Cricetulus griseus: one gene and its partners. The protein of the gene in region 1 interacts with the protein of each later gene in a pairwise test. Links are inferred from orthologs where the notes say so. Each region holds a gene or a part of one and is shown in the gene's direction. Other genes may lie near its edges.

Region 1 (9,148 bases):
TGAGGAATCCACCTTGGTTTTTGTGATGATCTGTCTCACTAGGACCTGGGGTTCACCAATCTGCTAGGCAGGCTGTCTCCATCTTCCTAGTACTGGAATTGCAATCACTTGCCACCACACCTGACTTTTTATGTGGGTGCTAGGGATTCGACTCTGGTCCTCACATTTATGCAGCAAGCACTTCAGTGACTGAGCTATCATCCCAGTCAACATAATTCGCTTTTTCTTAGTTCCGTTGTCATTCAGAGACTGGAGGAAAGCAAACAACAAAGTCTACTAGTGAAACTTGGCTGGGTTAAAAATGTGCTTCCTGTTTCCCATTAGGCTGAGTTATTCAGCCATAACAGATCTCAGGGTACACCTGCTTTTGCCACAGCCACACTCTGTACAGAGCACACCTAGACATTTTTCAGGTGGCCCATGAGATAGTAGATTCTGCCTCATGCTGTCAGTTATAGGATATCCCTAGGTTCTTACATAACCATTCAGACAAGTCCATTGTGGGTACACAACAGCTAATCAAATCTATAGTGACCCCCAAGCCAGAATCACATCCAGTCTAGGACAGGTCCTAGACAAAGCAAGTGATAGTAACAGCCTCTATTAAACATACACCCAGCCACTTACTTAGAAAGTCTGAGAAAGGGGCCACAGACCAATAATTTTTGCTCTCTCAGGCTTGGGAATCTTCCTGAAAAAGTCAGATTTTTTTTTGTGATGAGGGGGTCTTTTTGTTGTTTTTGGTTTTGTGTTTTGTTTTGTTTTGTTTTGAGACAGGGTTTCTCTGTGTAACAGCCCTATATGTCCTTTAACTTGCTCTGTAGACCAGGCTGGCCTCAAACTCACATAGATCTGCCTGCCTCTGCCTCCTCCTAATTGCTGGGATCAAAGGTATGCACCATCACTACCCAGCGAGGAAGTCTATTTTAGACAAGGAGTCTGTATTGTATATGTAGAATCTTTAAAGTCAGTCTCGTTGTTGCCAGTTCCAGGGATACTTACCCTGCCTCCGCCCTCTACCCAAGCCCTGCTCTGACCTCACATGACTCAGTTTTGACTTGAAGATGAACTCCTTATTGCCTCCCTGGCTCCCAGATGCTGAGCTTAGTATGAGCCCAAGGTTTCCAAGTGTTATGTCTTAGTGTCTCCTCCCTCTCTGTCCCTTGCTTGTTCTTGAACAAGACTGGCTCCTAAGCTGTCAACTTGGGAAAAGGGCTAGAGTTCAAATACCACAAAGTAATGTGTTACCTCTCTTCCTAAGAGAGGTTTCCGTCTTCCTGCTTTCTTTTTTTCTTTTTTAAGACCTGCTGTGTGACTTAAGGAAAACTTAGTCATTGTTTTCAGGTAGAGTGTGAAAAGAGGAGACCTAGAAAGAGAGAGTGTTCAGCCAGGACTAGGCCAGGTTCCCTATCTTCTGGTCCCATGCTGTTCTCATCTGTGCTTGTTCATTGCTCTGTCTTCTGGGCTAGAGGGGAGTAAGGGCCCTGGGACAGAAAGCATAGTACCTTCCTTTTCTTTTTGCCTGCAGTTAAGCCAGGCAATGTGAGGAACATCATTCAGCACTTTGAGAACAGCCATCAGTATGATGTCCCAGAGCCGGGGACACAACGACTCTCAACAGGAAGCTTTCCTGAGGACCTGCTGGAGAGTGACAGGTAGCTGGAGCTGGATGGGACCCACCAGCTGCCCAGACACGGAGCACGGCCAGGCTTCAGCACTAGGGTTTAATTCCTACTGCCTTGCTCCTCTCCACTAGACTGTGAGGCTGCAAGTAGAGCCTGCCCACCCTAGTAGCTGCAGAAAGCATAATGTATTGGGAATTAGGCCAGTGGAAGATCATGAAGGCAACCTTCAGGTGGATCCCCTAACTACTGAGCAGTTACATCCCAAAATGGAGCTCGATTATGTTATCCAGCTACCGATCAGGAAGTGCTGGGTGATGTGGATAAAGGACTTTGGAGGGGACAGAGGGAAGTCTTAGAAAATGAAACTCTGCCTGTTAAGAAGAAAACTTAAGCTAAGTGAGATGTCAAAGCACACTGTGAATCCTACCCAGCACTAGGGAGGCAGAGGCAGGAGGATCTTTGTGAGTTTCAGGCCATCCTGGTCTACCTTGTCTCTGTAATAATAATAATATAATAAATAATAATAATAATAATGCTTTTTTAAATGCTTAAAAAGGAGTTTCTGCTGACACTTTTAAAGACAAGCAGTAACTGGGAATGAGTCATCCTTCTCAACAGACTGTAGAGTCAGTTAGCTCAAGACCTTCAAAAAGAAAAGGGGGGCAGGTGTGGTGACACATGTTTGTAATCTCAGCACTCCTCAGACTGAGACAGGAGGATCACTGGGAGTCCAATGCCAGCCTAGTCTACAAAGACCCCATCTCACAAATGATGGGGACAGGGTCGGGATGGTGCTGTCTTGTTTTGTGCATCTCTGTCAGATATCGGGTTCTAAACAAGGATGTTTGTGTGGTTGTAACACATGCTATAGATTTCCTTGCTCCTGACAGGCATGACAGTAGTCATGGCTACACCAAGCTTTAGAATAAAGATTGCCTCTAGTCAGAAATGGCTGTGCAGATTCCTCAAGCCATCCTTTTGTACGGGGAAATAATCCTGTTATACAATCAAGTTTGAAAGCCACTGAGGTATAGAGGTGGGCAGGAAGGCAAGTCCAAAGGCAGCAGTGTAAATAGTCTAGCCATTTTGCCTTTGAAATAACTATCAACTCATAAGTCAGACAGTCTTGCTTGAATGCAAGTTTAATCTTTCTGTTTTATATTAGCCCTCATAGACTTAGTGTGTGTCAAAGGATTTAGCCATAGTAAGAGTTGACAAAGATTTTGGGACAGTAAACTTTAGATTTGTACTGTAGAGAGAGGTTGACTTCTAACATTTATAGGTAAATTAGATACAAATTACATAATTGCTGTGACAGGTGTGATTATTTGGATATGTCAAATATTTTAAGTTTGGGAGATGTCAATACCTTGAGAAAACATTTGAAACATATACAGACTTGCACTCTTGGCCTTGCTAGGTAAATTTGATCTACCTAAGACAGATGGCTGTCGATGCTTGGCAGGTATTGAGTGCCGAAGGGATCTTTTAGGAAGTTACAAAGCTTTGTAGCCTCTAACCCAACTGGAAGAGGTTTGTAGTGCTGACTGAGGACAGAGAAAACAATGTGAGTTGATATGGCTTAGATCTGGCTTGTTTTCAGAGATTCCTAAGGGGTAAGTTCAGGAGGACATCAGTTGTCAAGATGTTTGCAAACCCTGAAGACAAATTCAGGCCCGAAGGAGATGAGCTCTGTGTTGAATCCTCTGGCCTTTTAGAGAAAGTGTAAATGAAGATTCAAGGTACTTGGCTCCCTGTGGCAGCCGCCTGCTTTACTATTAAGCACTCTCCAGACATCTCAAGGCCTTCTGTGGTTCCAGATGTAGAACAGGATATAGATTAGCAATAATGTCAACAAAGGGCCAGCCCAGCAGGGCCTGGTGGTACATCTAGGGGCATCTAGGGGTCAGAGATGCTAGCTGTATTGAGGCCGATGTACTGCAGGACTCAACAGAAATCAGTTCTCAGTTGTCAGCATCTCACCAAGCCCTAAGGATGCTTGTTAGCCAATTAGGACAACCAGGAATGAACCCCTGCCTACTGTAACCAAGCTCTGGAAGCATCTTCCCTGGCCATTCCTCCCTGGAAAGGAACTAGAAGCTTAGGGAAGGTGCTATCAGTAGGAAAAGGAGAGATCTACATCATAGCGGGATGGAGAGTAAGAATACTAGAGCAGATATCATCTTCTGACAGGCGGCTTGGGGAATTACAGGAACCCTAAGTATACCCCCCTCAAAGAGGATGTTGTCAAGGAAAGATCCACCTCAGTCAGAATAGAGAGTAGTAGCTGGTCCAAAACAGTCAAGGTGTACTGGTCATGGGATGGCCTCCAGGGCAGTGGACCTTATGACCCCTAATGAAAGACTATGAAATCCATGTGTCTTCTGAAAGGATCATGGTGTCTTAGGCATCTGGAGACAACACAAACCTGATTCTCTTAGCCCAGCGGTTCTCAACCTGTGGGTTGCAATCCCTTTGGGAATTGAACAACCCTTTCACAAGTGTCACATATCAAATATTTGCAATTCATAACAGTAACAAAATTACAGTTATGAAGTAGCAATGAAAATAATTTTATGGTTGGGGGTCACCACAACATGAACTATACTAAAGGCTCCTGGCATTAGGAAGGTTGAGAACCACTGTCTTAGCTCCTGACTTCACCTTTCTGATAGCTCAAGGTGAAGAAGAGAAACTATCCAGTAAGCCCACCGAGGAGAGCGAAGAGTCTGTAGAGCAGCCAGAGTGGCTTGTCATTGTGCAGCTTCTGGACCCTCATGTTTGGGCCTTTCAGGGCCAGGTAGAAAACCTGTGGTATTGAGGCGCCTTTGGAGTGGGGTAATAGGTAAAAGCTAGCCACAATGTCAGATCTCAAAAGTTTCTTGTCCCTCTATGGCAGTTCTCGCTCAGAGATTCGCCTGGGCCGCTCTGAGAGCCTCAAGGGCCGGGAAGAGATGAAGAGATCTCGGAAAGCAGAGAATGTGCCCCGATCCCGAAGTGATGTTGACATGGATGCTGCTGCTGAGGCCACTCGCCTTCATCAGTCAGCCTCATCCTCTGCCTCCAGCCTCTCCACCAGGTAACTTCCATTGCTATTTAGTGTCGTTAGATACATTGTTGTTGTATACAGTATATTCAGAGCTGGTATTTTCTCCTCAGGTCCCTTGAGAACCCAACCCCTCCCTTCACACCCAAAACGGGCCGCAGGTGAGTGGTGAGCACCGTGGTACCTCTGTTTGGTGTCTCTGTGGCACTTTCACGCATCTGATGATGGCCAGATGTTTATCCATTCTCCATGGGCCTTAGACAAGCAGGTTGGATAGGAGAGTGACAGACAACCTTGAATGTAAGTTACTCACAAGTGAAACTGAGCTCCCCATTTTCCCCAGGAGCATTGAGTCCCCCAATCTGGGGTTCTGTTCAGATGTTGTCCTTCCCCATCTTCTGGAGGATGATCTGGGCCAGCTGTCTGACCTGGAGCCAGAGCCAGATGTCCAAAACTGGCAGCATACAGTAGGCAAGGACGTGATGGCAGGGCTAACACAGAGGGAGATTGACCGGCAAGAGGTCATCAATGGTGAGAACTGCCTTGCTTCCCTCATCGCCACTCATGCTTATGTGGGTAGGAGAGATTCTCCAAGGTCAACTCATTTCTGGCCTTAGCCCAAGGGTAGAGAAACCAGCACTCTACTTTCCTAAAGAGTAGTATGGTGTGTGGACCAGGGAGTGACTCTAAACCAGTGGTTCTCAACTTGTAGGTCTCAACCCCTTTGGGGGTCACATATCAGATATTTACACTACAATTCATAACAGTATGAAATTACACTTATAAAATAGCAACAAAATAATTTTATGGTTGAGGGTCACCACACCATGGGGAACTGTATTAATGGTTGCAGCACTAGGAAGGTTGGAAACCACTGCTTTAGACACTTGCTGATCTCTTTCCCCTCCCTCTCCTTGTCACAACCTCTGCTCAGAGCTGTTTGTGACAGAAGCATCCCATCTGCGCACCCTCCGGGTCTTGGACCTCATCTTCTACCAGCGCATGAAAAAGGAGAACCTAATGCCTCGGGAAGAGCTGGCGAGGCTCTTCCCTAATCTGCCTGAACTCATAGAGATTCACAGTAAGGAGCCTGCACCCCTCCCGACTCCCTCTGCCACCCTCCTCTCTATTTCATTTGGACCCCACCTCAATCCCCTAAATAAGTAACCCCACTACTCCTGAGAGAAGCTGACGGATAGCTTGAAACCAACCTCCAGATCCAAAGTAAAGGCTTCCCGACTTCTCCATTGCACTACTGTCAAAAGTGCTTTTCCTTCTAGACATAAAGTATCTAGCAGTGTGGCTCAACCCAGGCATTTCTGCTTCTTCCTTCTTACCACAGATTCCTGGTGTGAAGCTATGAAGAAGCTCCGGGAGGAGGGTCCCATTATCAGAGACATCGGGGATCTCATGCTGGCTCGGGTATGGCAAGGAGGAGATTGGAGGAAGCAAGATCCCTTTACCCAAGACTGAGGAATTTAACAGAGAAGGGGATAGTCAAGGGGGGGGAGGTAGGGGGGGTGCTGCTCCCTGACAGGAGTGTGATACCTGGACCATGTCCCGTCTGCCTCTTCAGTTTGATGGTCCTGCCCGAGAGGAACTCCAGCAAGTAGCTGCGCAATTCTGTTCCTATCAGTCAGTAGCCCTAGAGCTAATCAAGACTAAGCAGCGTAAGGAGAGCCGGTTCCAGCTCTTCATGCAGGTATCCTGGGCTGTGTCTTAACCCTCCCTCAGCTGTGTCCTACTCACCAAAAGTCTCCTAACCTCACCTGGCCCCAACCTTGTCTCTACTGAGGTGGGCACCTAGCAGTCCCCTCTACCTACCCACATCACCCACAGCAGTACTGTAAAGCGTTGCCTCTAGAGCCAAAGATCCTTTGATTGAGAAGTACTGTGGACTAGTAGGCAAAGGCCTAGCTTGACTACCAGCACTGGTGTGTGCTTTTCTGTAAAACAGGAGTGATACTGCCCTTCTGTTTTGACCATCTCTTCCTGGCAACATCAACCCCTCCCGAAATGTTAAAGGAAAAAAACTGCCACCAATTCCAAGTGACCATCCGGGGTTAGGACCTACTTGGCCTTTTCACAACCATCTTAGCCTTGACCCCTAAAGGCAGCTCCCAACTACTAGTTGACATCTTCCTCTCTCTGCTTCTTGCTATCCAGGAGGCTGAGAGCCACCCTCAGTGCCGGCGGCTGCAGCTTCGAGACCTGATCATCTCTGAAATGCAGCGGCTCACCAAGTACCCTCTGCTGCTGGAGAATATCATCAAGCACACAGAGGGTAGGGCATGGGGAGGGCTAGTGGCTTGTGGCAGCAGACATCCTTGCTTTGTCACAGTTTTGTGATCTTAGAAAGCCTAAACCTTTGAAGTCCTTAGTGTCTTCCTTGTCCTGGTACATTAAGTCTCAGAGAGGAGAATAATTGTAAATGTGTTTTGGAAATACAAAGTGCTGTACAGCAGGGAGAACAGGGCCACTACTGGCTTCTGGGCCTTTATAGAAATCAGGAAGCATAGACTCAGTGGCTGGCCCTTAGAGGCGTCTTGGCACCTCTGGGCAACTGTGAGTTCCTGTGAGGGCTATGCTGGATTTTAGACCCATTAATACCTCTGTTGGGTACCTCTGCAGTGTATGAAAGCTATAACCAGGGGACTAGCAAAATGACTCAACAGAAACCCACAGAAAAGGATGGAAGGAGAGAACCAACTTGACAAATATACACACTGTGGTGTGTGTGCATGCATGCACGCACACACATACACACACACAAAGTAAATAATCAAATATGCTAATCATATATAACTCTAGAAGAGTGATGAGCATATGCACTCTGCAGGCAGAAGCACTAACTACCACACATTTCCCCCTTTTGGTAGGTGGCACACCAGAACATGAAAAGCTCTGCCGTGCCCGGGACCAGTGCAGAGAGATTCTCAAGTTTGTAAATGAAGCAGTGAAGCAGACAGAGAACCGTCACCGATTAGAGAGCTACCAGAAACGCCTGGATGCCACTGCCCTAGAGCGGGCCATCAACCCCTTGGCAGCAGAGTTCAAGGTAGGAGGTGGAGGTTACAACACTGGCAGCCTTCTTGGGCCCTCTGAGGAGCAGAACTCAAGTCAGGGCCCAGTGAGTCTTAGAAGTAAGATACATGGACTGCCTGTGATAGGGTGGCATGGCCAGGCCCTGGAAGGCACACCCTATTAATGTCATTCATCCCTAGATGAACAAGAACAGCCCCACTAAGTAAAGACCAGATGTTGAAACTCAGCTGAAGGAAATAGAATGGGGTAGGACTTGAGGTAAAGGAGGAAATAATGTGGCAAGAATAAAGCTAAAGAAAAGGTCAGGAAAAGCAGCACTGCCTCCTTGGGAGGTTAGTGGCCAAGTGGGAATCCCAAGTCTAAGCCTTTAATATATTCCCCAGAGCATCACAGGCACAGGGCTTCCTAGCACACTTTACTTCCCTCCATCCCTGTAAGAGCTTAAAGGTAACAGTTGTTTCCTACCTGCTGATTCTCAGCACCTTCGCATAATATCCTTACACAGTAGCTTCTTAAATACTTGTTGAGTGAATGCAGTGATGATGTCTCCTTTATAGAGCCTGGATCTTACAACGAGGAAGATGATCCATGAGGGACCCCTGACCTGGAGGATCAGCAAAGATAAGACCCTGGGTATGTGCCAGGGACTAGAAATGGGAGGGAGCCTGTGGTAAGTGTGCTTCTCCAGGGTTCGCTCTTCTTCTCTGTTGCATGAGCTTTGGAAGTTGCTGCTCAAGTAGAATAAAGGGATGCTGGGGAGGCATACATAATGCAACTAGGATGGCACCACGGGGCCCCTTAAGCACAGTGTGGGAAGGAGGGATATAGAGACAAAAAGAGTTGGAGTCACTGGATTCCTATGGCTTGGGCATGAGCATGTAATAGCCTCTGGGTGAGTGAGCAACAGGGATTGTCTTAATTCCCAGACCTCCAGGTGCTGTTACTGGAGGACCTCCTAGTGCTGCTACAGAGACAAGAGGAGAGGCTATTGTTGAAGTGCCACAGCAAGACAGCTGTGGGCTCCTCAGACAGCAAGCAGACCTTCAGCCCTGTGCTAAAGCTCAATGCTGTGCTCATCCGCTCCGTGGCCACAGGTACCCATGAGAGATGAGCCAGCAAGCCCGGGGCTCTGGGACATGTTCACCATTTACTACCCAGTGAGCACTGGGTGATGTAGGCCCTTTCTGGGGCTTTACAAGGCTTAATGTCCTGTATTCCTTTCCTATCTTGATCTAGTCTAAGCAGGAAGACCTGGTCCAAGATGGGCAGGGTGAGGGGTAGAAAAGGGACCAAGGTAAAGATGGACAGCCTGAAGCAGGGGTGGTCAGGCTGAAAGGACCATGATGGGTAGAATGGGTGTACTGGGCGGGGCTGAGAGCATTCTGTCAAAGCAGGAATGGAAGAAAGGGAACCTAAAGAATAGGACAGATCT
Region 2 (9,899 bases), on another chromosome or scaffold:
CCCCCATTTCGATGGTTGGTATCGGCAACGACATAAAGAGATGGCCCAGAAGCTGGAAGCTCTGCACCTGGAAGCTATTTGTGAGGCGGTGAGGGAAGGCAAAGGGAGGGGATAGGAACAGGCCTGGGGTAGGTGGGAGGCTTGGTGAGAAGAACCTGAACTGTCCCTAGCAGAACATCGAGGCCTGGATGAAGGACAAGTCGGAGGTGGAAGTGGTAGACCTAGCCCTGAAACTTCGGGAAAAGCTGGTGAGAAGCCTTCTTTACCGCTTCCACATCCCAGGCCAGAAGTATGGCCACCCCTTACTACCATTGCCCTCCAGGTGCGGGCACAGAGCCACCAGGTCCCCGTGAAGGAGGTGACACTGCAGCGTGCTCAGCTGTACATCGACACAGTTATTGGCTCCCTGCCCAAGGACCTACAAGCAGTCCTGTGCCCTCCCTAGGACAGAGCCAACTTGTGTGGTCCTGGAGGCCTAAGTCTGCCAAGTTCCCTCTACGGTGAAGGCAGGCATCCACCAAGCTGGGACTCCCAGCCTTGGCCTCCTACCTCGGCTTCAGCCTCTCTCCCGGAACCACCTCTGTCCCATCAGTAAAAATGACATTTGGAATGACAGTCTGGTCCCTGACTGTGGGGGGATTCTCTGCTGGCACTGCCTCACTCCTTCCTGGTCCCCACCTGTCCTCTGAAGCTGCAGGTGGGAGTGGGCTAGTAGCCCTCACTGCTGTAGGTGCCTTTACCACCTGCCCCCTCCTGGCTCCCATCTGCCCACACTTCAGGATGCTTTGTGTTGTGGGTCCTTTAGCCCAGCAGGCTTCCCAGCTCAGAACAGAGGGAGGCAGCTGCCAGGGCCAGCCCTTCTTTACACTCCACTCACTCATTCCCTCTTCTGGGAGTGATGGGTACTTTGCCGAGGCAGCTACTTGAGGGGGCAGAAAGCTTTTGTCCTGTGAGGGCCTAAATCTCCTTCCTGCTCTGACTGGTCAGGATGAGAGAGTGAGGGATGGTTATGGGACCTGGCACCCCACTTGGAAAGCAAGCTCGGGGCCCCCCACCCCCAAACCTGCGGCCATGCATTTCACCCAAGCTGCCAAGGGAGACTCTGGCTTTTCTTCTTGTGTCTGCCTCTCCCCTTGAAGCTTGAAAGCTTTGGACTGTAGCCTAATGTTGCATTCTCTGCTGTCTTGTCCTTAGGGTACAGTTGATCTCTCAGGCCAAGGTGTCTCTTGGAGGTACTGTTCTGTGCTCTTCCTAGGAAAGGGTTAACCTGTGTGATCCCAGGGACCTAAGTCTGCCAAGCCTTCCTTTCCCTTCAAGGCTCTGACCTGGCTTCAGCTCCCCCTCCTAGAACCACCTTTGTCCCAGCAGTAAAAATGACATTTGGAACCACAGCCTGGTCCCTGAACGGTTGGAGGAGTCTTTTCTAGCCCTGTCTCACCCCTTCCTGGATTGGATACTGTTGTGCACTGACCCCTCCACCCCCACCCGCCTGGGTACAATGAGCTACAATGTTACAGCCTAGCACAATATCAGGGCTGTTGGGATGGTACAGACTAAGTAAGATCCAGAGCTACCGCCAAACCCCAGCTGAGTATCAGAAACCTGTAGGTGGGTCTCCTGACCACTCAGACTCTAAATCTGAGAGACCAGGCCATGTAGATGGCTCACTGGGCAGTTTGGGGCAGCAGCAGGGTAAGAGGGGCATTAGAAAGAGTGGACTGACCGGGCAGTTGTGACACATGCCTTTAATCCCAGCACTCGGAAAGCAGGTGGATCTCTGAGTTTGAGGTCAGCCTGGTCTACAGAGCTAGTTCCAGGACAGCTAGGGCTGTTACACAGAGAAACCCTGTCTCGAAAAACCAAAAAAAAGAAAGAACAGGTTGTACACACTGTAATGTTTAAGGAGTATTCACAAAGTAAGCTAATGCAGAGCTGCACGGTGAGTTTTTGCTTTCTTCTAGAGCTCTCCTGTAACATGACTATAACCCTCTGGGTTCTTCGGATTCCTTTGATCAAACCCTCAAGTATGTATTGCCTTGCCCTTCCCCACTGATTCTGGCTAAGTCCAGATGTAACAAAGGCTGTCCATTGTACACAGGTGCCAGGCCTGTTCCTAGATCTTTGTTTCTCCCTTACCCCTATGACCTCAGGCTATAACAGTTTGTCACGTTGTATGCATTTTACAGGCAAGGAAATAGACAAGATAGATGTGATGAAGGTGTACAGTGAGCTAAATCATTCTCAGTGTCCTGTTAGAAAACTGAGCAGAGCAGGTGGAGGTTGAGTCCTTGGCATTAGGAAGAGTGGCCCTGGCACCTCCTGAAACAGAGGTGCCAGCCTCACCACCAAAAGCCTGGTCTCTAAGGGATCTTCAGAAATATGGCATCTTCCACTGTGACAGATGGAGCTTCCAGGCTATGGGGACAGCACAGTGCTAGCCATTTGGAGTCTGAAACTGTGCCTTTGGTGTGCCCAGCCTCATATCCAAGTATAGAGTGGCAAGGTCTGAAGCTCCCAGGTCTTATTGGTCTCACTCTAAAGAGCACATCTCAAATGCCACTGCAATGTGTTGTGTTTTCCCTTCACTTTCTGGGGGCTGTCATACAGTAAGCTTCATAGTGGCTCCCATGGACCTCCGACACCATCCACCTGGGACTAATTAGCTTCTGTCCTAGCAATCAGTCATTCTCAGAACACTGGACATGGGACTCAGAAACAGATTTAGGGGTTATGTGGCGTGTGTGTTCACAACAGTACTTCCTAGGGCATAGACCCAAGGCATATAGGAATGAGGAAAAAGTACCATCTCCTTTTAGGTGCTTGTCCTGGCTACTGGGTAGAGTTTACAGCCTGGGGCCTCCTACCAGCTACATCCTCTTCTACTCTAGCTCTCCCAGGATGGGATCAGCTGAGTTAGTGGGGGTTTCTGTCCAGAGTAGGTTAAAGACTTCAAGTCCATGCCCAGGGCAGGGCCTGGAGAGAAGACAGATGGCTTCAAGGAAGTGCTTCCCTCCCCCCAAGCCCAAGGGCCCTCATGGTTAAGATGCCTGGATAGTGAAAAAAAAAAAAAAAAATCCAAGATGCAGTGATCCCCAGGGCTCCCTTGTGTGGCATATTGGAGAGAGCTGTGAGCCAGCATTCAAGGGATCTAGGAGGGCTGGGTGGAGGTCATGAGGCAGCCAGCCCCAGGGACAAGACCGGAAGAACAGGAGGGATCTTTTACCCTCCAGCTTCCTGCCTTCTATTTTGAGCCCCACTCAGTTTGGAATACTGGCCTTCCCACAACTTTGGTATTAAAATATCTTTTTGTGGTAAAATACTTATTTTTTTTTTGATACAGATTTTGCAGCCCTGCAAATTACTAGATATTTTGAAGTCCCTTGGTATGTGTGTGTATGTGGGGGGGGGGGAAACTGTTGTTGGAGGGAAGAAGGTAATATGATAAAGCCTAGCTGCTTGGCGATGGGGCAAGTCAGTCTTGCTTACACAACCGGCAAAACCCTCAGATTTGTAGTCTTTTGCTGGGGAAGGCTTAAGAATTGGGGTGGATCCCCAAAGTTGGGGAGGAGATGCCTAAGGAAATAGGAAGTAGGCAGTCTTCAAGGAGGGCAATTTTGGGTGGAGGCGATAGATACTGCAGGGTAGACACGAGCTGAGCTATGCAAACTAGTCCCAAACCCTGTTCTGCGACAGTGGGGTCATCGCCAAGTTACAAATCCATGGGGCCACAGCATGGGTGACTTGGAGATCAGAAAGAAGTAGGAACTCTAGGGAGTAGTTCTGTCCTACCCAATAGATGAAGACTTGGGGGTCGCTAAGGCCCAGATATGATGGGCCAGGGGACCAGGAAGGAGGGCAATGAGAGCAGAGTTCCAGCTATTCTGCAGGAGACTGAGCGGCTAGAATCCCGGAGAAAGAATCACCCTCGGGAAGGACACGAGCGTGGTCCCCCTGTTGCCAATCTGGTGGCGAGGTTCCTTGCGCCCCGCCCATCTCCAAGAGGAACACTTAAGGCCTCGGTCTGGCCCAGCCGAAGCCACCCACCAGTGCCGGGCCGCGTGCACCAATTCACTTCGGCCTGAGGCACTCCCGGGGTGGTGCCCAGCCTCAGCGAACTCCTCTGATGACGGGGCGATGGGGGTGGGGGGAGACGCGACTGCAGCAGGCAGGGCGCGCGGATTGCTACAGGGAGCGAACATCCAAGCAAAGCAGTGTGCTTAAGTGGCTCTGAGCAGGGGGAAACGCGGGGTACGCTAGGGACGCCAGCTGCCCCTCCTACCCTCGGTCGGCTATCCTCTATCCCTTAGTCTCGTCCCTCCCTCTCACCCGCCCCTGTCCTCCCCGCCCTCCTTCTCCCCTGGCGGGGGCGGGGCCGGCGGCTCCCGCGCGCTCCGGCCCCTCCTCGGCCACACAAAGGCCCGTCTCCATGGCAGCCGCGCGGGCCAGAGCGCAACGCAGAGCGCGGCCCCGGCGCCATCGAGCGACGGCTGCGGAGGAGCAGGTACCGCACTTGGGGACGGGAACTGCGGGGGGCGTCGCGCAGGCCCAGGCTTCGCTCTCCGCGCCGCTCGGCCTCGGCTTGCGCACCCGGACGCGGGGGTGCTAGGGCAGTGCCGCTGCGCTGTGGGCGACGCGGGCCTGCGTCTTTGCCCTGTGTCTGTCTGTCCAACCGGCTGGGCCTGGCTGCTCCTGCCCCACCGGTTGGCGACGAGGCCCTCCGCGCCGGGATGTTGGGAGACTGGCCTGACTGGCCGGGTCCCAGCGATCTAATGGAGCTGCACTCTACCCAGTGTAGTTTCAAACCCTCCCTCGCGGCTGGCGCCCCTACCTCTTAGCCTGCCGAATCGAAGGACCAGAGAGAGTCATCCCTGTTATGCCGGACCTCCAGGCCCCAGTTCTCAAGCTAAGCCTGCGCAGAGCCGGGCTCTGCTGGAGCTTTTTTCCAGGGGTGCACAACCGCAGCAGTCCCCACACCTTCTGGGACAGGGAACAAGGGACAGAGAGAACTAACACCCAGTAGTACCTGGTGAGGCCCCACGCCTCCCAGCAAGGTCTCCGCAGCTTCTAGTGTAGTTCGTTGGTGTGATATTTGGAGGGACACCTAGGACAGAAGGCTTAGAACTTGGGAGGTATTTTCACAATCTAGCCCTTTACTTCTATATACCTTCCGCAGGGAGCTCTCATGCATGTGCCCATACTGTTCCTCTGGTCAGGCTGTGTGGCAGATTTGTGTGTGGATGGGTAGTGTCTCCCGGTCTGGGGGTTTCCGATCTTAAGAATCCTAGAGTTTCTGGCCACGTCACTTAACTCCTTTTTCTAGCTCCTTGGAGAAGGCAGGAAGAGAGGTGGGCCAGTGGCCACTATGGTGGTGGTGGTGGTCAGAACTGGAGCTGAAGCCAGGCCCAAAGTCAGTGAGTGTAATGTCCTGAGGAACAGAGGCTCTGAGGGCCCTCATTTGCCTTGGGGAGTGCCCCTTCTAATGTCTATCTTCGGTCTGTATTGATGGCTTTAAAGCTGAACTCCTCAGGCTGCCCACGCACACCTTTAAGGTGGGAGCTGTCAGCCTGATCCTACACCCGGATGCTACCCTGGTACGTAGGGAATGCCATTAGAAAGTTGGACTACCAGTGGGAAGAGTTCTCGCTCTTTGGTCAGGAGGTGAAGTTCCTACGAAAGTAGGGCGAGCATGTGAGGTGTTTTGTGGAATGTGCCAAACCTTATTGTGTTGTATCGAAATTGCTAGAGAAGACAGAAATAAGCAGGTAGACCACGGTTCCTTGGGTACCTAGTCTCACACCCTTCCATGGAGTTGGGGAGGCCTGAGGACGGGACAGAGGTTCCTAGCCCCAGGAACTCAGGGAAGTTACTTAGAAAAACAAGAGTTTGGAATGTGAGTCCCCCTTCCCCCACGGGCTGCCTGCCAAGGAGGAATTATTTTGGATTATCCAGCCGAGTCCAGCAATTCCAGCTACCCAAAGAGGAGGTTGAAGCAGAAGGGGAGGCTGAAGGGACCCACTTCCGGGCCGTGGGTTGAGAACCCCAGGAGGGCGGGGTTGAGAGCCCCAGGAGGGCGGGGCTGGCAAGTCCAGGCAGCTCTACCACCTCCCTCCCATGGCTGCTCAGACCAGTCAGGGGCGGGGTAGGAGGGCATGTGTCACCTTGGGTTAGAGAAGGTCCTCAAGGTCGGCTTCTTTGTAGGCCCTGCCCGGCCTGGAATATGCCCAGGCTCCTCTGAGAGAGCCCATGGGGCAGGAAGTACTTCAGACCCATGTGGAAGACCCGGTTCACTCCCTAAAACCATGTTTAAGGACACCTGGGATGGGTCCCACTCCTGGCAATGACTTAGATCAGGAAGCACATCTTCCTGGAGCTAAACCTTAGGCCACCTACCTGTCTTCTCACTGACCAGCTGTTCAATGAAGGGCTGCACCGCCTCCCGGCTCCGCCCCTCATTAGTAATGTGATATTGGTCAGGACATCCCACAGGTGAGCAGATAAAGGTCCCTACAAGAAGCCATTGGGATGTTCCTGAGTTGGCTCCTGGGGCTTGTGACTGCCCAGGAGCCTGGATGGAGACCACATTGGGAAGTAGAGCCAGCAGCTGATGCCCAAGGGCAGGAAGCCCAGGGACTTGGCCCTGGCCCCTGCTAGTGGAGCAGAAGAGATTGAATTGGAAGGGATTGGGTTGAGCTGGGCTGACAGCCTACGGAGGTGTCCATATGGCACATGTCCCCCCTACCAGATCCTTAGCTATTCTAGAACATACATCTAATGTCCTGTCCACTGCCTGGTACCTCTCCTGATGGTTAGTGCTAATGGTTCCTCAGGGATATTGGACATAGGCAAGGGTCACTGGTGGAAGGATCTTCTAGCAAGCACTATCCCTTGCTTGTCGGCTATCCCTTACATACCTCTCTGCCACAAAGGGCTGTCACCCTGCAGCCAGGCACTCCTTGCTTATGTCCTCCTATTCCTCTTGCTGTTTCCTGTTCCCTGCCTTGCTCTTGATATTCGGGGAGTAAGCTTTTTGTCTCTGTTGAGGGCCTCTTGTAAAAGAACTGGCTTGGTGAGGGAAAGAAGGTAAGTTAGTTAGAACTCCAACCAAGGCCTGGTAGTCAAGGCTCTGGAGAACCTGTGGATGAGGCTGAGGCTGCCTCTATTAGCCTCACTGCCCTTCTGTGCCAAGCCATTGGGTGGTTAGATAGGGGTAGGGGCTGGGTAGAGCCCCTCTCCTAGGGCTAATGGCTGTTTGTGTTTAGGGTGGGGTTGTGGGTAGGGTGGAGCTGGATTCTGACTAATTATAGTCTGGGAAGGGCTGAAGTGTGTGTGTATGTGTGTGTTGTGTGTGTGTGTGGGGGGGGTTGGAATAGGGTATCAGGGGCAGCTGCCCCAGCTCTTGGCTTTCCAGACCTCATGTGACTACTCTTTCATGCTCTTCTAGGTTTCACTTCCCCAGGCAGCTACTGCTCCCTACCCCCAGCTGTGTGAGCCTCCTGCTCTCCTCTGTTGACATAGCATGGACTCTGCCCTGTCCTGAACTCTTGACTACAGGTGCTGCCTCTGACTCTTCTACCTCATTAGAGCATCTGAAAGGATAGGAAAGGCCTCTGCTATCCTTCCTGTACCCCAACTCTAGAGGGGCCCTCCTTACTCTAAAATTCGTTAACCTGTGACCGTGATTGGATTCAACTCCCAGGTGGTCAAGGATGGTGAACTCCCCTTGGAGCAGATCTGAACCATCTCACAGTAACAATCTTGCCACCGGGAAGATCCCAAGCTGGTCCAGACTTGGAGCTGGTAGCACTATTTCCTGTCTTTTGTCACTCTCTGATCCCGCCTCTGCAGCCCAGTGTCCCCTCCCCCAGCCTGGCTCCTTGCCTCCCTCATGGCTGGCAGCCTTCCCTGGGGTGTCCCCATGGACTGCTGAGTTCACACCTGAGCTGCCTGGGGTCCCAGTGGACTACACACAGAAGGGGCTTAACCGGATTGGGACACTGTGCCTAGGGGCAGGGCTGGGCTTGTTGCCCACACCCTCTTTCTTCCTCAGCTCCCTGGACTTCTGAAACCCAGAAGTTCCCCATTCTGGTATCACCTAGGTCCTGGCTCCAGGCCTTAAGAAGAGGAAGGGGGAAAGGGTAGTTCCCCCTTTAGTTTTGACTCCAGCTTTGCTATCAGCCCAGCAACCTGACCTGGGGCATGTCCTGTCTGGACACAGGGACCACGCACTTGCATTTGGAGGCAGGGGTCCCTCTGGCTCAGCTGTTCAGTAGTTCCTATGGCGGGGGCAGGGGGCAGGGTGAAAAAGAGAAAAAAGCATTAATGTTGGTCTTTCAGATGGTTACCTGGGTCAAGACAGCTCTTGGGAGCCCTTCAGAGACTGTGTAAGAGGGTTGGCTGTGTACAGGGCTAGAGCTTTCTTTCCATGGGGCTGCTCTGATCTGTGGCCTCTGAAACAGCATACCACCTGCGTCCTGCATTGGTCCACCTGTAGAATTGGTGATGGGTTCATGCCAAATGTAGGGCTGTACCTGGGGGATACATAAGGAATCTATTAAAGCCTTTTCAGGGGAAGAACACTATTTCCTTTGGTTCCACATCATGTGTGGAAGTCTCAGAGTTCTTCAGTCAACGGTAGAATATGCAGTAGGCAGCATAGATGACTGTGGTTAAGAGTGTTCTGTGATTGACACATGGCCCTCTGACTGTCTCTTCATTCTCAAGAGCCCTAACCCTTTTTTTTTTTAAAGCTAGGCAAGTGCTGGGTCTTAGAACAGTTCCAGCACAAGAGTGTGGGTCTGTCTTGGGAGGAAGCAGATGGCATTTGTGTGGTTCAGAGGCTGAGGGCTTTCTGCTCTCTTTGTGGAAGATAGCAGATATCCCGGGACATAGAAGAACCCTGCTGTGGATCACACTCTGCCCCACCATCATGCACTTGATACTGGGGGCACTTCTTCCCTGCCCAGCAAGAAAGAAAGCTGCCAGGGATGAGGGGTGAGGGGCAGAAGGGGAAGGGCTCTAGAATGACCTGCTCAACTACTCCAACCTCAGAAATAGTCCCTAGACTGGCCTCAGGAGCAGAAGGTTCAGCCCTCCTTACCTCCACTTCAACATCAGGCCTGATTTGGAATATTGTGCCTCTGCCACAAAACCTATGTCAGGAGGAGGAGGGACCTAGGCAAGCCCTCTCTTGACCAGGAGTGCTCCCTGGAACACATCTCTTCACTTCTTCCAGGTATACATAGAATTAAAGAAAACTCCAGAGGGACCTGGTGTGTCATGCTTCTCACCAGAGAAAAGAACTGGGTTAGGGGCTCCAAATTCCCACCCCCATGTATATACCAGTATCACCTCCCACTCCAAGCTGGGCATTTCCTCATTGGAAAATCCCAGGTCCTCGTCCCTCCTAAGCCTTGAGTGCTTGCTCCATTGTGTCACTTGGACATGGAGCCCTGCTCACTATCTCACCCTCAGACTCCGTCCAGCACTCCTTAAAGTGCCAAGTGCCTGCCAGGCCCCTGGCTTAATGTGGATGGGAGAATCACCAGTGAGTAGCTTCCTTCCTCAAGGCCAACCTGCCTTCCCAGCGCCAACAAACTCTCTTAGGGCATCCTGGGATGACCAGTGTGGGGACCTATGTATATTCCACTTTCTCAAAGTCCCTTAGGTCATGGCTGGGAATTGATTCTAGATGTTGGGGCAAGATCTTCCTGCTGGCAAGACTCTGGCAAAATCATGGACATGTGTGTGCCTGTACATGTGTGAGTGGTGGCTGGCACCCAGGTTTGGCAAGGTGCCCTAAGCTAATTGTAGGGTTCAACAATGATGGGGGAGGAGGGGCTAGGGTGACCGATGAGACACTGACAGGCTGACAGGGAGATTACAGGCCTTGTCTGATCCTC
Region 3 (9,777 bases), on another chromosome or scaffold:
GGCAAACTCTGGCGGCGCCGCCTGAAACGCGATTGGGAGACGGAGGAGGTGGAGCTGCTCCTCCGCGCCCCCTCCTCGCCGCCGCCGCCGCCGCCGTCTGTCGGGGCCGGCCGGCCCCTTCCCCGCCCTCCCAGGGCCACTGGTGGGGTCTTTGTCCCGTGGCGTGGTGGAGGGGGGAGGGCTGAGGATGAGCCGAGGCAGGGCAGTGGAGGCTTCCCCGTAGGATAGCAGACCCTTCGGGCTGAGGCTGACAAAGGAGGACCACGAGCCTTTTAATTCTGGGACGTACCCCGCGGGTGCTCGAGGAGCGCCTGAATTTATCGCGGGTGTCTGGTAAATGATGGCTCCGTCCCCTCCACCCCCACTCAACAGCCTGAAAGCAGGTGTGCGGTGGTCACCATTTCAATGTCAATGAGTTACGTTCCCTTTTAAGTGGATACTGGATGGGGACTCAGAAAGGAAAGGCCAGCTAACTCCCAGGCAAGGTTCTTGTGCAGGTGCGGATGGACTGAATTTGTGAGCCCTCTTGGTTAGTGAGAGCCGCTGCAGGAGGGGCTCAGGTGGTGCTTGTCCTTTGCAGAAGTCAGGCAAAGCAGTCCTGGGCCCCGCTGAAGGGTTTCAGGGAGTGTGGACTCTGAAGAGGCCTGTAGGGCAGGCCTGGGCACAGGCAGAGTTAGACTTTGGCTATGAGCCTGGACAGAGCCTGAGATGCAGGGAGTAGGGAGGAGATACTCGCAGTGCAAGTTAGGGACATGAGGCTTGGGTCCAAATAAGCGTTTTCAGTCTGCTCTAGTCTGATCATTAATAAGACGGTGCCAATTCCTTGTCTTTTGAGAGGCCAAGAGGCTTGGAAAGCAGGAAGCTCCATATTACCCCTACTGGCTGGATTTCCTGGGCAGTGAAATGGGGGCTCATTCACCGTGGAGGGAACACCTGCTCTGCGTTGGGGTTGCCGGTTACTTGGGCCTCCTAATTAAAAGTGGGCACACTCCTCCTTGTCCAGGGTGGGAGGATGCAATGGGAGAAAATGGTCTCGGGACCCACTCATGCCAGATCCACTGTACCACATTTAGTGTTCAGAACAGCCCTACGTCCCCTCCCACCAACAGGAAACGAAGCTCAAAGCCCAAGGAAAGTCAGGCTGGTGGCTAGGTGTGTCCATTCCATCTACCACACAGGGTCGCCTCCTCAGGAGCCTGGGAAGGCTAGGAAGGCTCCCCGGGGAGGTGACGGCTGGGTGTGGGAGGTAATGGGAGAGAGAGGGAGTGGGCATTCCAGGCCGAGGGAACAGCCCTTGTGATGGCAGGGAGGAGTAGAACAAGCCTGCAGTTTAGGCAGGAACTAAGAGCATGTGGATAAGAAGGGCCTGGCCTTTCTCTCTCCATCCCTAGCGTACCCAAAAAGCTTGAGGAGGGCGTGCACTGCATTTTCGTTTAAAGAGCATCCAGTGATGTCCTCATAGATTGGAGGGACTAGGGATACCTCTGTAGTTAAGTGCAATCTGTCTGCTAGCATGGAGGAGGAAAATGTCACTACCCTTTGTCCTGCCCCTGCCCATGGTATGTAGGCCTATTGAAGTAGTTCCTTAGAGGGGGTTAACCTCTGACCTGTGTGCTGAGCTCTTCGGAGCCCTCAAATTTCTCTGTATGTTCCCCTCAATGCAGCTGTAATTTCAGTTTGGGGAGTGGTTTTGTTACTGCCCCTTGAGGGCTGAGAAACTTTGGCTTGCAGTAGGCTCTGAGCAAATATTTATTTACAAGCCAACGAAACAGCAAATGCTGGGCTCACTATGGGACCCTGTGCCCAAGGCACCTCTGTGGCCCAAGGTAGTATGGGAAGGTCGGGTAGCAGCAGTGAAAGTGTTGGCTTCTGCCTTTCCAGGGGAGGAAATTTGGTCTCTCTATCCCTTGGAAACAAGGTGGGGGGCTATTTAGTAGCCTGGCCTTGCCACAGCCCTGGGCTTCAGGCTGGGTTCAAGACTTTTTCTGCTGCCTCTTCCCCTCCACCCCCTTGGGTGGCAAACAGAAGCAGCCTTGTTCCCGCTCCCATAGAGCTGCCCTGTTCTCTACACACTAAAAATGGAAACCCCCAAGCTATTTTGGGAGCAGTGCCCAGCCAGACTGTGGCCATGGCCCCCTGCTCCCAACTGGGCTGTGACCACAGCGTCCTTGCTCCCACCAGGCTGCTGGACCTTCCTCTTAGCCTTGTGCCCAGCCCTGCTTATGATAGGGCAACCTCAGGAGTGCCCTGCTGAGGCCTTTGATAGCATGGGCCAATCCAGGCTCAAGGAAGAAAACTTTGGGAACATTCTGCATAGCCTGGCAGCTAGGTGGTGGGAGGGGCTGGGCAATGTGGCCTGGGCACAGGCAAGGAGGGGAATGTTTCTCAATGTAGAATGGTTTGTCCCATACCCCAACCAAACTGTGTTCCTGAGTGAGGACCAGTGGAGTTTGGGGAAGGTAGTTTTGCCATAGTTACTTAGGTCTGGAATTTAGGAGCCTTAGCTGGGGCCTGCAAAGTGGGAAAGCAGGCACTCAGAGTCTGTGGAAGTCCTGGGTTTGGACTCAGGTTGCAGGGCACAGCCAGGCATGATCACTTCCTCAGAATACCCAACCTACCACTCATACTGCACTCTGGGTTCTGACTCTACAACCTGCAGGAGAGAAAATTCCAGGAGATGGCCTGCCTTCCACAGCTTTCTAGGACTTAGTGCTGGAACCAGGGAAGTGTGCGTGAGTCTGTATGTGCAGGTGTCTAATGTGTGTATGTCTGTCTCGGTGGAGGTATGACATGTCCATGCAATGTATGTAGGGGCTGAGTTTTGTATGACTGTTTTCATGTGGTGTCTGAACATAGATACATGTGCCCTGTGTGGTGTGTTTAATGTTTGTGTGTATGTGTCTACTGTGTGCATAGGTCATATCTGCATGCGTTGTCATGTGTCTGTCTGTGTGTGCAAGTGCTCCTGTGTTTGTGTGGAGACGTATGCATTCAGTGTAGGTGGCATGCGTCTGTCTTAGTGTGTGTGCATGTGTCCCTGCTGGTGTGCTGATGCCCGTTTGAGTTAGGGTGGCCCCTAGTCTATGTGAGCAGTGTAGAGCTGAGTGCCCTGATGGGCAAAGTTAAAGCCAAGGGTGGGATGGAAAGGATGCCGAGAAGGGACCTCGGTGCTGGGGGCCTGACTGAGCCCAGATGGCCATGGGGTTCCTTTCTAGTTGACCTTTCCCAGGCCCCTCGGGTGCCTGGCTCTGCTGCCCTCCCCCTCCCTGTGTGGGTTCTGAGGAGGCGTCCTCTGTGGAATGTGTTTGGTGGCTGAGGGCCAGGCTGGGCTGGGCTCCACCGTGGGCTGGGGAGTGGGAGGGAGTCCAGGGCTCCCGCAGGCCTGCAGCCCAGCCCCCAGCTTCATTCTCTGCTTTTCCCCACTGGCTAGGTGACTCCTGCTCAGGTCATGCTGTCATCTCCTGACCCAGCCAGCCCTGCCAGGTGAGCCAGACTTTACCCTAATGGGGAACTGTGTAGCTGTCTCTGCTACTCAGGGCTCCCCAAGGTGAGGCCCTGTCCTTCAGCTCTCACCCATCCCAACATAGCCCTTTTAGATCCCTGGCCTGAAGGGCCCTGCATCCAAATTCTTTACTTTTTCATTTATTTATTTTGTTGTTGTATTGAAACGAGGTCTCTATGAGGCTGTCCTGGAACTCTCTGTATGAACCAGGCTGGTCTCAAACCGACCGATCCACCTGCCTCTGCCTCCCAAGAGGTGGGATCAAAGGAGTGTGCCACCACACCCATCCCTGTGTCCAATTCTTGCATTGTTAAGACATGCTGGTAGTCTTTTAAGACCTCATCACCCCTTTTCCTCTTGCCCAGGAATCTAGTATCCATATAGAGGGACCCTTTCCCTCCTCAGAGACCTCTTCATCATTTGAATCAGAGAGCAGGGTCTAGAAGGAACAGAGAGATCAGGTGAGGGCTAGGGTGGGATATGAGGAGGTACAGGTCTCCTGAGAGAGTAGTGTTGAGTTTTCCAAGGGCAATGTCTTCTGTTTCTGCCTCAGTACGTGTGCAGTCCTGGGATCACCCGGGCATCTAAGCCTAGTGAAGCCTAGGAATCTCTCAGTAGCCCAGGTTAGGAGGAACATCTTGGCAGTGCCACAGTCCTGTCCCCCATCAGTGACTTCTGAGTACCCTCCTGGCCATGTGAGCCTCATCCAGCCTTTCTCTCTGCCAGGTGACCATGCCTGTCCTCGGCCCAGTTCTTCTCCAGATGCTCTGGGCCGGGTGTATCCTCACCCTACAGTCCCCTCTACCAGCTGTTTTTACTGCCAATGGCACACAACTACAGCATTTGGCAAGGGACCCCACCTCAGGTACCCTTTATGTAGGGGCCACCAACTTCCTGTTCCAGCTGAGCCCTGGGTTGCAGCTGGAGGCCGTGGTGTCCACAGGCCCTGTGAATGACAGCCTAGACTGTCTGCCACCTGTGATACCTGACGAATGTCCCCTCGCCCAGCCTACTAACAACCCTAACCAGCTGCTTCTGGTGAGCCCAGAGGCACTGGTGGTGTGTGGGAGTGTTCACCAGGGTATCTGTGAGCTGCGGAGCCTGGGACAGATTGGACAGCTGCTGCTCCGGCCAGAACGGCCTGGGGACACCCAGTATGTGGCTGCAAATGACCCTGCAGTTAGCACAGTGGGGCTGGTTGCCCAGGGATTGTTGGGGGAGCCCCTCCTGTTTGTGGGGCGGGGGTACACCAGCAAGGGCGTAAGTGGTGGCATTCCTCCCATTACAACCCGGGCCCTGCGGCCACCGGACCCCCAAGCTGCCTTCTCTTATGAAGAGACAGCCAAGCTGGCAGTGGGCCGCCTCTCTGAGTACAGCCATCACTTCGTGAGTGCCTTTGTACGTGGGGCCAGTGCCTACTTCCTGTTCCTGCGGCGCGACCTGAAGGCCCCTTCTAGAGCTTTCCGTGCCTATGTGTCCCGAGTGTGCCTTCAGGACCAGCATTACTACTCGTATGTGGAGCTGCCCCTGGCCTGCCAGGGTGGCCGCTACGGTTGGATCCATGCTGCAGCTGTCACCACATCCAAAGAGGTGGCCCGTGGGGAAGTGCTCTTTGCAGCTTTCTCCTCAGTGGCTCCTCCTACTGTGGACTGGCCCCTGTCGGCTTCAACTGGGGCATCCGCATATGGAACCTCTGTGCTCTGTGCCTTCCCCCTGGATGAGGTAGACCAGCTTGCTAATTATACTCGAGATGCCTGTTACACCCGGGAAGGCCTTGCTGAGAATGGGACCAAGGTGGCCGACATTGCATACGATGTCCTTTCTGACTGTGCGCAGCTGCCAGTGGTGAGTCCAGGCATTTGCCACTGATCAACTGCCAGGAAGGCTGAGGAGCAGGGATTGGGAAGAGTGGCTCTCATGCCAGGTGCTAGGTATTTCCTTTTAGGCCTGAGCAAGGTGACTATCTTATTGCAGTGGCTGAGCCAGGTGGTAAGGAGCAGTTGGAGGGACGGGCTTGAGTCAGGGCACTGAAGAAGTGACTGTAGAAGTCGGCAAAGAGAGTGCTTGGGCTCGAGGGTATGGATAAAGTGTTGGAATGAGCCCTCTTGTTTTAGGTTCTGGAGCAAAAGAAAAGGTAAAGACTCTGTGGCTATAGCCTAGGAAGGATAGAGACGGAGAAACTGCTCACTGAGTCCGTGAGGTGCAGAGGGCACAGGCAAGTGGGCTGGGCGTTGTGGAGCCAAGCTGTGCGAGCTTTAGGAGACGACTCAGGAAAAGATACTGAGTATAGCAACTGGAGGAAGTAGCTTCCAGGAAAGGGATGGCAGAAAATGGGGACCACTGCTAGGATGGAGATGAAAAGGGAAAGGAACCACCAGAAACATGGAGGACGGAAGCACACTGAGGTAAAGCTAAGGATGGTCCTGTAGGAGTGTCCTGCCCAGGACAGCACTGCCAGGGAGGCCAAGCGGAGATTGGGACCTAGGTGAAGTTTACCTGGAAGGTTATCCAGGCAGGGTCTTAGTGATGCTTTTTGCCACCTGTAGGATACCCCGGATGCCTTTCCTTGTGGCTCAGACCACACACCCAGCCCCATGGTCAGCTGTGTCCCTTTGGAAGCCACACCAATTCTGGAGCTGCCAGGGGTTCAACTAACAGCTGTGGCAGTCACCATGGAGGATGGACACACCATTGCTTTCCTGGGTGACAGTCAAGGACAGTTGCATAGGGTACGTCCTTAGGAAGTATTAAGGTTTGAATGTGTGACATGTGACATACTAAGTGCCTCCCATCCCTGCTCTGGCTCTGAAAATGCTGCTCCTGCCCGGGTAGGGTGTATTTACCTATAATTCTCCCCACATACACATACACCCTACAGGCTGGTTGTAATAACCTGGAACTCACAGTGTAGAACAAACTGCTCTCAAACTCACAGAAATCTGCCTGTCTCTGCCTCCACGGTGCTGGAATTTAAGACTGCCCCCCCCCCCCCGACATCTGCCCAAAGAGAACGCTCTTATTCATAAATTGTTCTAGTTCTGAGCAGTGGAAGGTCTTGAGTTTGTGGCTTTGGGCTCGGTGCCAGATTTTGTGGTCTTTCATCTTAGGTCTACTTGGGCCCTGGAAGAAGTGTTGCCCCGTACTCTAAACAGAGCATCCAGCCGGGGTCTGCTGTGAGCAGAGACCTTACCTTTGATGGTACTTTTGAGCATCTGTATGTAGCGACCCAGACTACCGTAAGTCCTGGACACAGGCCAGGGAATGGCTGCTGGGAGCGGTTCCTGGGATGGTACAGGGACCCATATGTGGGTGGGCCACTAGTTTTTGGATTGCCAGCCTCAGGTCCTCTTTGCTGTCACAGCTTGTGAAGGTTCCTGTGGCCCCTTGTGCTCAGCGTCTGGACTGTGACTCTTGCCTTGCCCACAGGGACCCTTACTGTGGATGGTGCGTGCTCCTGGGCAGGTTAGTGCTCCTGCTCCAACTCGTGACCTGGGCTTGTGCCTCATACAAGATTCTTGGCCCTTGTCCACCAACTCTCAATTTCTGACCTGTGGACGACCCCCCTCTGCTCTTTATCCCCCTGCTCAGGGCTTCAGTTCTCTGCCATAGCAGACACAAGAGCCTGGTATCAACCCCACGTGAGGACTGTGGCCAGGGCCTCGGGGCTAGAGATATATTTGCTTTGTGAATTCTTGGTGACTGCTTGAGGGTCACAATTAACATGTTGGTTCTTCTTAGATGCAGTCGCCGGTCAGAGTGTTCCAGGGGCCAGGGCCCAGAGCAGTGGCTGTGGAGCTTCCAGTCGGAACTGGGTTGTCTTCGAGTGGTGGCTGTGAGCCCTGCCAATATCAGTCGGGAGGAGATGAGGGAGGTAAGTGACCGGAGTTGGCAGAGCCCCAACGGGGAGAACTCGGGATGGATGGAGACCTTGGATCTTTGAGTTATTGCATCAAATGCCACATGGCCTTCCTCAGCCACTTCTCTTGGGCCTTGGATTTCTCTGTAACAATCAAGGTCAGAGGTTGTTTGTGAGGGCTACAGGATGCTAATGCCAACCTGGACTTGGTGCCCCTTAAAGGAGAGTTCCTGGTCTACCAGCCAATGATCCCAAAGTGTGCCCTTGGCTTTCTTGGTAGGTTTTCTTGTCGGTGCCAGGCCTGCCGTCTCTTTGGCCGGGGGAATCATATTTCTGCTACTTTGGAGACCATCAGAGTCCTGCTCTGCTGACTGGTTCTGGTGTGATGTGCTCCTCCCCAGACCCTAGTGAGGCTCCGATGCTGCAGAGAGGAGCCGGTGGGTGAGAGAAGGGGCCAGCCCCGGACCTGGGAGCCCCATCCTGCTTCCACTTTGCTCTAAGGGGTTTTGTTGGGATAAGAGGTGAATCCAGACATAGCCCTGGTTGTGCTCTGAGTCCCCACAGTGTCCATGCTATATGTCCTGAGGGCTTTGTTCTCTGACCCTAGTTCCTGTCTCCATTTGGGGTGTCAGCCTCATCCCATATGGACCCTATGCCCTTCCCGCTGTTCATTTCTGGCTTTCTCCCCCATGCTGCAGACCACGTCTCCGTGACCGTGGAGCTCAGGTTTGGTGCTGTGGTGATCGCCAACACTTCCCTCTCGTTTTATGACTGCATGGCAGTTACTGAGCTTTTCCCGTCTGCACCGTGAGTTCCTTACCTTGTCTGTCCCCAGCACTGGGCTCCTTTATTGTGACCTCCATTCCATGACCACTATATGCATGCAGGTGCCAGGCCTGTGTGAGCAGCCGCTGGGGGTGTAACTGGTGTGTGTGGCAGCACCTGTGCACACACAAGGCCTCGTGTGGTGCTGGGCCCATGGTGGCGAGCCAACAGGTGAGTGGGACTCCAGAATGAGGCATGTTGGGGGTGGGGCTAAGGCTCCCCAGGGTGAGGTTTCTAATGGCCTGGGGTCTGTGTGCCTGCCACCTCCTTTGAAGTTCTGTGCTGAGTACTCCAGCTGTTTTGTGTGACAGACACTCCGGGAGAATGGCTACTTGTCCATCCCATCTGTTTTGGGAGAGGACATTTAAGCTGAGGGGCAAGAGGTGTGGCCTTGGCCTGCTACCTTGGCACAGACCCCCCTGGAGCCTGCCCTCTGTGTTCCTGCTTTAGAGAATTAATGGGATGTTTTTTGTTTCTCTTTTCCTCGGTCTTCTTCCCTCTTAACATACCCTTGCCTGCCTGCTCCTGCACCTGCCTGCTGAGTGGCCCTTCCTGTCTGTCTTGGCCTTCCCTCTCAGAGCCCACTCCTCTCCCCAGTCCCTCCTGCAAGGGATGTACTCACTCCATTCCCACCCACAGTCCCCAAAGCCACAGTCACCCCTACTCCCAACACCTTCCCAGTGGAGCCTCGGGCTCCCTCCACAGTTTCAGACGTCCTACCTGGGGCCAGGCCTTCCTGGCTCAGCCTCTGGGGCCCATGGGCAGGTCCTGGCCCCATACTTTCCCCTACCTCCACAGACTTACCTCTCTATGAGAAGCCCCTCCCTACCACACCTGGAACCACTGTCCCTACCCCTGCTCACTTGGAACCAATGACCACACCTGAGGACCTCTTGGCCTCCTACCCATTCCCCTCAGATGCAGCTACAGTGTCCCCTGCAGAGCCTGGCCCTGAGGCCCTGCCTTCCACAGGGGCTCTGGACCATCCCCCTGGCACTGCTCCTGCCACCACTTTCCCAGGGGCCACTGGCTCCATGAAGCCTGTTCTGGATTGGCTCGTGAAAGAAGGCGGCGAGCTGCCCGAGGCGGATGAGTGGATGGGGGTTGACACGCCTGCCTTCTCCACTTCCACACTCCTCTCAGGTGATGGAGACTCAGCAGAGCACGAGGGCTCTCCTGCCCCCCTCATCCTCCTGTCCAGCCTCGACTACCAGTACGACACCCCCGGGCTCTGGGAGCTGGTGAGGTCCAGCCCAGGAAGGAGGCCTCAGGGAGGGGATGGCAAGATGCAGCCGTTTGTGCTCCCTGTGATTCTGCTTTGTGAGGGTGGGGACAGGGCTGCCACTGGAGTCAAGTGAGGTAGAATACTGAGGTGGGCAGGGTGGGAGCCACAGACTGCCTCACTATTGGTGCCTACAGGGAGAGATGAGCCAGAGGGTGAGCTCCTGCCCCTGTGTGGAGAATGTTCAAGGCTCCTTGCTGATACCAGTCCATGTGGAGCGAGAGATCCAGCTTCGAGGCAGGAACCTGCGGCTCTTCCAGGTGGGTGCCTGTCCAGCTAACTTCATTCCCTTCAGACTTCTTGGCTACTGAG

The links. The genes of interacting proteins can lie anywhere in the genome.
Region 2: the proteins of Arhgef11 (region 1) and Plxnb2 interact in a two-hybrid assay, tested with the Homo sapiens proteins (2 studies listed by BioGRID). The link is inferred for Cricetulus griseus from reciprocal best matches to the Homo sapiens genes ARHGEF11 and PLXNB2.
Region 3: the proteins of Arhgef11 (region 1) and Plxnb1 interact in a two-hybrid assay, tested with the Homo sapiens proteins (2 studies listed by BioGRID). The link is inferred for Cricetulus griseus from reciprocal best matches to the Homo sapiens genes ARHGEF11 and PLXNB1.

Annotation. Positions count from the first base shown.
Region 1 is NW_023276806.1:66,736,806-66,745,953, reverse strand, and holds part of Arhgef11 (rho guanine nucleotide exchange factor 11), read left to right. Parts: intron 1-1,528; coding exon 1,529-1,655; intron 1,656-4,524; coding exon 4,525-4,704; intron 4,705-4,784; coding exon 4,785-4,832; intron 4,833-5,014; coding exon 5,015-5,202; intron 5,203-5,605; coding exon 5,606-5,752; intron 5,753-6,013; coding exon 6,014-6,093; intron 6,094-6,247; coding exon 6,248-6,373; intron 6,374-6,837; coding exon 6,838-6,955; intron 6,956-7,550; coding exon 7,551-7,729; intron 7,730-8,273; coding exon 8,274-8,349; intron 8,350-8,642; coding exon 8,643-8,810; intron 8,811-9,148. UniProt on the Homo sapiens protein: May play a role in the regulation of RhoA GTPase by guanine nucleotide-binding alpha-12 (GNA12) and alpha-13 (GNA13). Acts as guanine nucleotide exchange factor (GEF) for RhoA GTPase and may act as GTPase-activating protein (GAP) for GNA12 and GNA13.
Region 2 is NC_048595.1:385,929,928-385,939,826, reverse strand, and holds the start of Plxnb2 (plexin-B2), read left to right. Parts: upstream 1-4,356; 5' UTR 4,357-4,501; intron 4,502-9,899. Other genes in the region: protein DENND6B, read left to right, coding at 1-80, 171-248, 323-504.
Region 3 is NC_048597.1:217,209,089-217,218,865, forward strand, and holds the start of Plxnb1 (plexin-B1), read left to right. Parts: upstream 1-4,234; coding exon 4,235-5,347; intron 5,348-6,048; coding exon 6,049-6,231; intron 6,232-6,609; coding exon 6,610-6,738; intron 6,739-6,863; coding exon 6,864-6,964; intron 6,965-7,240; coding exon 7,241-7,373; intron 7,374-7,638; coding exon 7,639-7,795; intron 7,796-8,056; coding exon 8,057-8,165; intron 8,166-8,245; coding exon 8,246-8,354; intron 8,355-8,761; coding exon 8,762-9,424; intron 9,425-9,602; coding exon 9,603-9,725; intron 9,726-9,777. UniProt on the Homo sapiens protein: Receptor for SEMA4D. Plays a role in GABAergic synapse development. Mediates SEMA4A- and SEMA4D-dependent inhibitory synapse development. Plays a role in RHOA activation and subsequent changes of the actin cytoskeleton.